Linked DNA regions of Caenorhabditis elegans. The protein of the gene in region 1 interacts with the protein of each later gene in a pairwise test. Each region holds a gene or a part of one and is shown in the gene's direction. Other genes may lie near its edges. The genes, in order: ceh-14 and ceh-63.

Region 1 (3,928 bases):
ACTATTTCGTAAACTTCTGATCTTTTGTTAAGCAGACAAATTATCAATGTTTTCTTAGGTTGGCTTAAAGCTTGGGATAGGCACCATACATTTCCAAAAAAGAAGTACTAAAGCAGTCTGCAGATCGTGAACCTATAATAATTTAGTCTAGACAAATACAAGCAATATACTATCACATATTATTGTAATGATAGAAGTAGTGAAAAAGAAACTCACACAGAAATTGCTATAAAAATGATCAACCGGAACATTACCAACTTACATTGTTTCATGTTTATTTTTGTTATTTATTAAGTAAAATAATTTATAAGAACTTTTTCTAGTAGTCTTGTACCACAATTGTTGAACATTGAAAGCTCAAAGTTGTTGCTTTGTCGGAACATTTTCAGTCGGAACAAGTGCCAAATATGTGTGCTTTTGATATTCCAATAGTTTAACAAATTTGAATAGAATCCAAAACTCAAGATATGAGTTGCCACATAAGAGCAGTAAAGATTTAAGCTTAATAGAAACAATACTAATACGGTAATACGTATATTTGACGATAATTTTTGAATAGACATTTTGAAGCTATTTTTGTATTTTTAAAACTTCCATGAAATTCAATCATCGGGTTACTTTACTAAATAGTTTATATTTTACTTATTCATAGTTTCGACTGTTTTGTATTTTAAGATCAATGTTTACTACTGTTAGGCTCCTCAAGTTGAATTTCTGTTAATTCTATTGTTTCCAAGATGATATTTCATTCTGAAACTCTACTCCTGAAAATTCAACAATTGTTTTCATTTAAAATGAGCAACTGTAATTTTCTATTCATTAAAGTATTTTTTTTACCATTTAAAAGGAACCCATTCATGAAAAGTTCAATAGTTTCTAATAATGCAATAATCCACAAAAACATGTTCATGCCGCAATTTAATTTTTTCTTGACCTAACTGATCATTTCATTTTCTCATTTCATTTCAAAAAGCACGCAATATTAATGAAACTAGGACACCCTCTCTTAATTGCTTTTGACATCAATTAAGTTGAAATGTTTCTTTCTTTTTTCAAATTTTGCACTTTTTCAATCATTTTGAAAGTAGAATATAAACAAAGTTTTTTGGAAAGATGCTATTGCTCCGAAAATCACGAGGAACGAGCGGATTTGAGAGGATTTCTGAATTTATCGATGATAAAAACAATCTTCTTATTTTCGCGGCCGTTTCTGTAAAACATTTGCTTAGATGTGATAAGTCATTTGAGCAACATTCAATTAGTGAACTTTAGGTTTGAATCCATTGTTTCGGGAGATGTATCGTATCCCAGAGCTAAGAAATGCACAAGAGAGCATGGCTTCTTACCCGCTCATTGGCGTGAGACAAGAAATGGGCGGGACTTTATTTTCGGGACATTCATGGCTCGTGGAGCATAACATACACGTAGTCTCAAGAACCGACTAACGACATTTTTTCTTAACTTTCCATACGAGTTTGATCATGAGTCTGAAACATTTGACTAGGCTTTTTATAAAAGTTCATTAGCTATTCAAGCTAGCGTGCGGTTTTTTTTTCATGAATACTTTTTTTTTCTGAAATTAGACTTTTAGCTAATCAAATTTTTTCTTTCTTTTTCTTTTTTGTTTTCATATAATAAACAAAAATAAAGAGAAAATAAATTACATTATATCTTTGGTTTCGCTTAAATATTCACCTCAACTAAATCGTCAGAATCGTCTATCCCGAATTCGACTCGCTATGTTTATTTTCAGAGGCCTTTTTCAACAAACATGCTGGGACACAACATTTTGACTCTTGGCGAGTGCGATGAGCTGGACAATCATATCGTGATGTGCAGCACCGGGCTTCTTTCTCCGCAGGAAGACTTTAGTAATGGTAGGTTTGGAAACATATTCTTCGGATATACTCGATTAAAATAAATAGGTATTTTTTGTATCTGTACCCCGAAATGTTTTCAATTTTTCCAAAAATTAAAAATGTTTTCTTTTTGTATTTTAGACGCAGGAGCAATCATGGTTATTTACGTGTTGACATCATAGAATTTTATACACTGAAAACATATTGGGTAACAGCTAATAAACAAGTACCATATATTGCTCGTATTTATCAAAATGCATAGTGTGAAGAATTGATTTTTTCAGAGAATGCCAGCTGTTGAGCTGCAAATTTGTTTTTTTAATCACAAACCCCTTAAAACCGGGACAAGGGACTTTTTAGTAAACATCTAGAAAATTAGTTCAACACCATTTCGTGAAAACATTTCATACTTCAGAATCATAAGCAAAAACGTATTCCCCATATTCTTAAGTCATACGACAAAAAGAAAAGAAAAAAGTCCATCCTTGTCATTTCGCTTCCTGTCCTTTTGAACATTACCGACAACTACACCATTTTTCTCTCATACTTCATATTACAATAACAGTAGCCAACGGCAGTGGCCTTTGTCGCTTATCACTTTCTTCTCCTCGCGTTTTTTTAGTTGACCATCCTTTTGCCTATTGTGACTCAATATTACACACTGGAAACGTTTTTCGAAACCTATCACACCTTTTCGCGCGTTCTCGGATACCTCGTTTCGGGCCTCGTGTTCGTATTTTCTGTGTCTCTGAGCAACAAAAATAGCATAATATTTTTGCTAATACTGGACCATCATTCTTCTGGAAATTTGATATTTTAATGGTTGGTCACACCTCCGCGCATCATCCGTACCTTTAGCAGTTTATGGGGAGGACGCACACCTGCAAGCTTCTGGCGATGAGCATTGAATTACCGTTAGGTTCGTTATATCCCTCCTCCTGTTTTCTCTCTTGTTCCTCCAACCTGTTTAGCCACAAATTAAGTAAAAACAGTAGGAGTCAACAATATTATGACAGAATATATAAGGTTTAGTGTGTAGCAAGGGAAAATGGACAAGACAAGGAGAATGTCAAGCATAAAGCATGTGTCAAGAATATGTGTCAAGAATGGGTATCTAGCCGACACGCCGCTATATGAAACAAGTTGAATTATTTATTACAGTTAATGCAGGCCATCCGAATAACGAAGAAGCCATTTGTTCGCTTTGTGACAAGAAAATAAGAGATCGGTTCGTTTCAAAGGTCAACGGAAGGTGGGTTCACTGTTCTTCTCTAGTATTTTTTTCTCGACAAAGTTTCATTCTTTTCAGATGTTATCATTCATCATGCCTCCGATGTTCTACGTGTAAAGACGAGCTTGGTGCGACATGTTTCCTGCGCGAAGATTCTATGTATTGCCGGGCACACTTTTACAAGTAAGATGGTAGTTTTAGCTTTTTTTGGTATCACAGAAATGCGTAGTGCGGCTTTTTAGCTTTCTTACTCACATATTTTGAAATAGAACGGAGAAGTGTATGATAACAAAACATTGTCTTTGAAAGCTTATGTTTTTTTTTTTTTTAATATTTGGTGCGAAAACATTTTCAACCAGAAGAATAGAATTTAAATTCAACTTGGAAACTAGGGGATAGCTTTTTGGTAAATCTTAGAATAAAAAATTAGAGAACGATTTCAAACATTCAATGATAATAATAAAAATTTAAAAGGTTTTTTTGAGTAAACGTTCAATTTTCTTTTATAATATAATATCACAGCTCTCTGACTTCAGATTAAAATTTTTCTTTAAAAATAGATGACTACAAAAAATATGGTTGCAGAGTATCACTCTAATAAAAAAAAAGTTAATCTGAAAATTATTCAGTGCGTTACCGTAAACTTGCTCCAATAAGGTTGATAATTTTATTTATTACGGTCTTAAATTTCTTAAAAATAGGAAAGCATTCCGTGAAAAAAAAACTTTTGAATTTTTCCGGAAAGTTCTCAAAACGTTTTTGATCGAGTTTAATGAAAAAGTTTCAGATTCAGTAGTATTCAAAATATTTTTATAATACTCAACCTTGAAATCATCAG
Region 2 (3,928 bases), 3.9 Mb from region 1:
AGAGACTGAAGGTGCCACCTGATTTTCTGTTGTATATAAATTTCAGACTTCGAAATTTTAGAATTGAGTTTGCGGTGAGCTTGCAAATATGCTCGGAATAAGCGGTGCATTGTGGGTGCTCCGAGGACATGTGTGGTGGTGGTATTTGCCAATTCATATAACTTTCATGACTTTAAAAAAAGTTTGGAAGATGTCTGAATTTTATCAAAATCTGGAATTTTGATCACCAGAAGCATGCAATTTTCAGAAACTCGAAACATATTTTTTAAATTACGAGGGTGATTTTTCCAATAAAAAAATCTGCATGTTACCAATGGTAACTTACCATCATGAACATCCCCAGAGCTCCGATGTTGCTGCTCTTACTCGGCAATTCCCGGCAGCTTCTTCCCCAAGTTTGGGGCTTTCCAGCTTCTTACCCAACTCTTGCCAACTTCTAACCCAGAGTATGCCCAAGTCTTACCCAACTTCAACAATTCTAGTGTAAACTCCCTCGCCCGAGTTTTGCCCAAGTCTTAGCCAAGTCTTGCCAACTTTTTACCCAAGTTTGCAGATGTAAAGAACAAACAAGATTCCGAAATCCTGCATGCGCAATGTTTAGCGTAAATCGACACTTTGTCTTTTGAGTAATTTGTATTTAAAATAGAGGAATTTCGATGTAATTGAAAGAATTCACAGGAAAACTTGTCCCTTCAAAGTCAAATTCTAAATATTTTGCTCTGATGGCTAACATTGTTAAAAAATGTACGAACAAAGTTTGCCTTTTATTTCCTGTGACTGTCTAATAAACCGAATAATTTATCTAAAAATAAAAAGAAAAGTTATCTTCAGGATGATTCTTCTCCTAGTCAGTCCAATAGTCAAATAATAGTCAGTCAATCCAATGCATCAACTTTTGAATTTTTCTAAGACTAAAATGTTCCTTTGAAATGTAAACTTTTATAAAATTGAAAGACATGAAACAAACATGAATTACAGTAATTTTGTAAATTCTGTACTTAGAATCATTAGGGAGCACACTTGAAAACAAATGAAATAAGGTATGTGGGAATACCGTATTAATCCGATGTGTCTGATACTTCCTCAAAAATATCTATCAGAATATGAGTACGATATATTATTAGTGTGCATCTTTTCGCGCGACCATCATGGCTCAGCAGGTAAGACTTCGGAACAACAGGAAATGCGATCAAAGTTCAACACACACGTATAAATTGGGTAAGAAATAGGCAAAACTTGGGTAAGACTTGGGCGACGCCTCGAGACGACGAGGCAGTCCACGACTTTTTTTATTTATGAGGCGCCCAACTCTTGCCCAAGGTTTACCCAAGCCTTGGCAACTCCTTATAAATGTTTTTATTTTTTGGGCAAGGCTTGGGTAAGAAGTTGCGAAGCCTTGGGTAGGAAACTGGCGGCAAACGCCGAGTACTCATCGCAAACTCAATTATAAAATTCCCTGCTTAAAATCCATATTTAACAATTTCTAATTATGGTATTTCAAATAAAACATGTCTAGTTCAAAAGCCCGGTGGAACCTTTACATTAGACCCTTTCTCAATAAATTAGAAAAACTAATACAAGCTAACAAAAAATGATTTTCAGCGTTCTCTGGAGCCATTCAACATGGTCACTGAGGACGATGATGAGGACGACATCATTGATATCAAAGTCAAAGGAGAGCGTCCACGTCCGTGGTGGGAGACCGAATCAGCACCACCGGCTATTAAAAATCAAAAGTCTTCAATAATTGATTCAATCAGAAATAGTTGCGCAATTATGTAATTTTTCCTCTTTTTTTTAAATTTTCAGCTATTTTGGTCCATCTATTTGTATGTTTTCATCTCATGATCGTTGATCTCTGCATTGTGTCGTTCCTATTTTTTCTACACATTTTCTCCCCATTTTTCCCTTAAAAATTTATGTTTTCGTGAAATATCTCTCCCCAGAAACTGTTCAGACTGTTCACTATGTTATCAATAAACAGCTATTGATACTTCTTTTGAAACATGTTTTCAGGTACCTACCAACAATTTTTGATGAAATGAGTCATGAATCACAAGAAGCATTTTGTTCTGCAAATTGATAGGCTGGAAAAGAGAACAGAAGCCTACAATGAACAAATAGATATAATTGTTTGACGCTGGAATCTTTATTACCGGGTAGGGTAGGATCTGCTACAATTCTACAATTAACGACGTGTTTTCCAACGACGCTCCATGCTAATTGCACAGCTCTTTTCCATGTAATGTCCCATCCTGAAAAGTCATAAAGTCGTTTCCTTCAAATTAAACATCCAATTGCTCTGAGCTTTCATTGCCCCTGTTTTGCTCATTGTGTTGTTAGCATGACGTCTAAAACGGTAAGTTTGAAATAATATTATTTTTTTAACCTTCCCTTTGTCAGAATATGACGTCAAACAAATTTGCATATGACTTCTTTCCATGGTCAAATGACACCAATTCGGTAAGTATTTGATAATTTTTAAAAAGTAATCAATTTTCCAATTTAGTCCCAACAAATTAAGAACATCAAACCGCCACCGAAAAGGAGCAATCGACCGACTAAAAGAACAACTTTCACATCGGAGCAGGTGAAACATTAGAATAATTGACATTTCCAATTATTTTCCACTCAATTTAATATGTTAAGGTCACACTTTTGGAGTTGGAATTTGCAAAGAATGAATACATCTGCAAAGACCGACGCGGCGAGTTGGCTCAAACAATTGAACTCACTGAATGTCAAGTGAAGACCTGGTTTCAGAACCGGAGAACTAAAAAACGAAGGTTTATTTGATCAAAAAAATTTTTAAAAATAAACGTTTTTATTAGTAATGGTCGAAGCAAGTTTAAATGTTTTTTTTTTTAATTTTCATGTTAAAATTGTTGGTACATCCCAGTTTTGAAATTTATCCGCTAAAAAATTTTCACAGTAGAATTGATGAAAAAAAGGCGAAACCTATAATTTTTGCATTTTTCAAAATTTTGAACAGAAATTCGTTGACTGACATATCCTTTATTTTGAGAAAGCCTGAAAACCTATATTAGAAGTTGAATCTGAAACTCTACGTTCAACAAGCTTGCCTCACAACATAGGCTTAAAAACTTTAGCCTGAAATCTGAAGCTCTCTTTTGAGGCTTAGTTTTTAAGGTCAAATGTTAGATTTAATTGTGAGCCTTGCGTTTTTCAGCTTAGTTTTTTTAAAAGCTGTACCCTAGGCCCAATTGACAAATGTTTTTGCTCAATTTTCAGATTTCGTTTTAATTCTCAAATTTTAGATGTAAAATGAATTAATAAAATTGAAACAGTAACAATAAAAATGAAAGTACTCGTGAATTCCCAAAGAAACTAAAAAAATTGAAAAATATAAAACGTCCACGTTGACATTTTAAAAAATAAATGAGCAATAAGTGTTGTCAATTTACGTGCCCGTACCATATAAAATCTAAGTTATGTAAACATTCAATAATCAAACCCGTAAAATTTCAGATGTACATCTCCTCTTCGAAAAAGCATGATGAAGAAGTCTGACGAACGTTCTCCTTCGCCACAAAATCCATCGTCTCAGCATGTTCAGAATTTGCAAACGTTTTTCCATTCATGGCCCTCGCATTTTGCATATTCACTTCCTTCTGATCAACAGAACAATGTTTGATTTTTGCAGCTCTTTGTCTACTTTTTTATACTGAATTCTTCATGAAAAAAAACATACTTTATTTGAGCAAAATTATGAAATTCAATAAAATGTTCAGTTTTGATTCTTTCATTGTTCGTCTTTTTCGAATAACGTCATTACGTCAAAACTCAAATAGTCTTGAAGTCTTGCACGTTCGATGTTATCAAATTAAATTCAAATTCAATTTCAATTTCGTATCAGACAAAGAAACGCAAAGACCGACCAGTGGGTCATTGTAAACAGTGGGTCATT

Evidence for each region.
Region 2: the proteins of ceh-14 (region 1) and ceh-63 interact in a two-hybrid assay, tested with the Caenorhabditis elegans proteins (one study listed by BioGRID).

What each region holds. Positions count from the first base shown.
Region 1 is NC_003284.9:7,530,576-7,534,503, reverse strand, and holds the start of ceh-14 (LIM/homeobox protein ceh-14), read left to right. Parts: upstream 1-1,771; coding exon 1,772-1,877; intron 1,878-2,642; exon of another isoform or gene 2,643-2,791; intron 2,792-3,020; coding exon 3,021-3,111; intron 3,112-3,168; coding exon 3,169-3,273; intron 3,274-3,928. UniProt on the Caenorhabditis elegans protein: Probable transcription factor, modulating expression of helix-loop-helix protein mbr-1 and homeobox protein ceh-63, perhaps acting in concert with ceh-63. Binds to a motif including the sequence 5'-CTAAT-3' in regulatory promoter elements.
Region 2 is NC_003284.9:3,672,105-3,676,032, reverse strand, and holds ceh-63 (Homeobox protein ceh-63), read left to right. Parts: upstream 1-1,974; 5' UTR 1,975-2,344; coding exon 2,345-2,359; intron 2,360-2,403; coding exon 2,404-2,463; intron 2,464-2,509; coding exon 2,510-2,590; intron 2,591-2,649; coding exon 2,650-2,786; intron 2,787-3,489; coding exon 3,490-3,655; 3' UTR 3,656-3,759; downstream 3,760-3,928. Other genes in the region: Putative protein tag-52, read left to right, coding at 1,603-1,782. UniProt on the Caenorhabditis elegans protein: Probable transcription factor, modulating expression of helix-loop-helix protein mbr-1, perhaps acting in concert with homeobox protein ceh-14. May play a minor role in axon guidance in the DVC interneuron.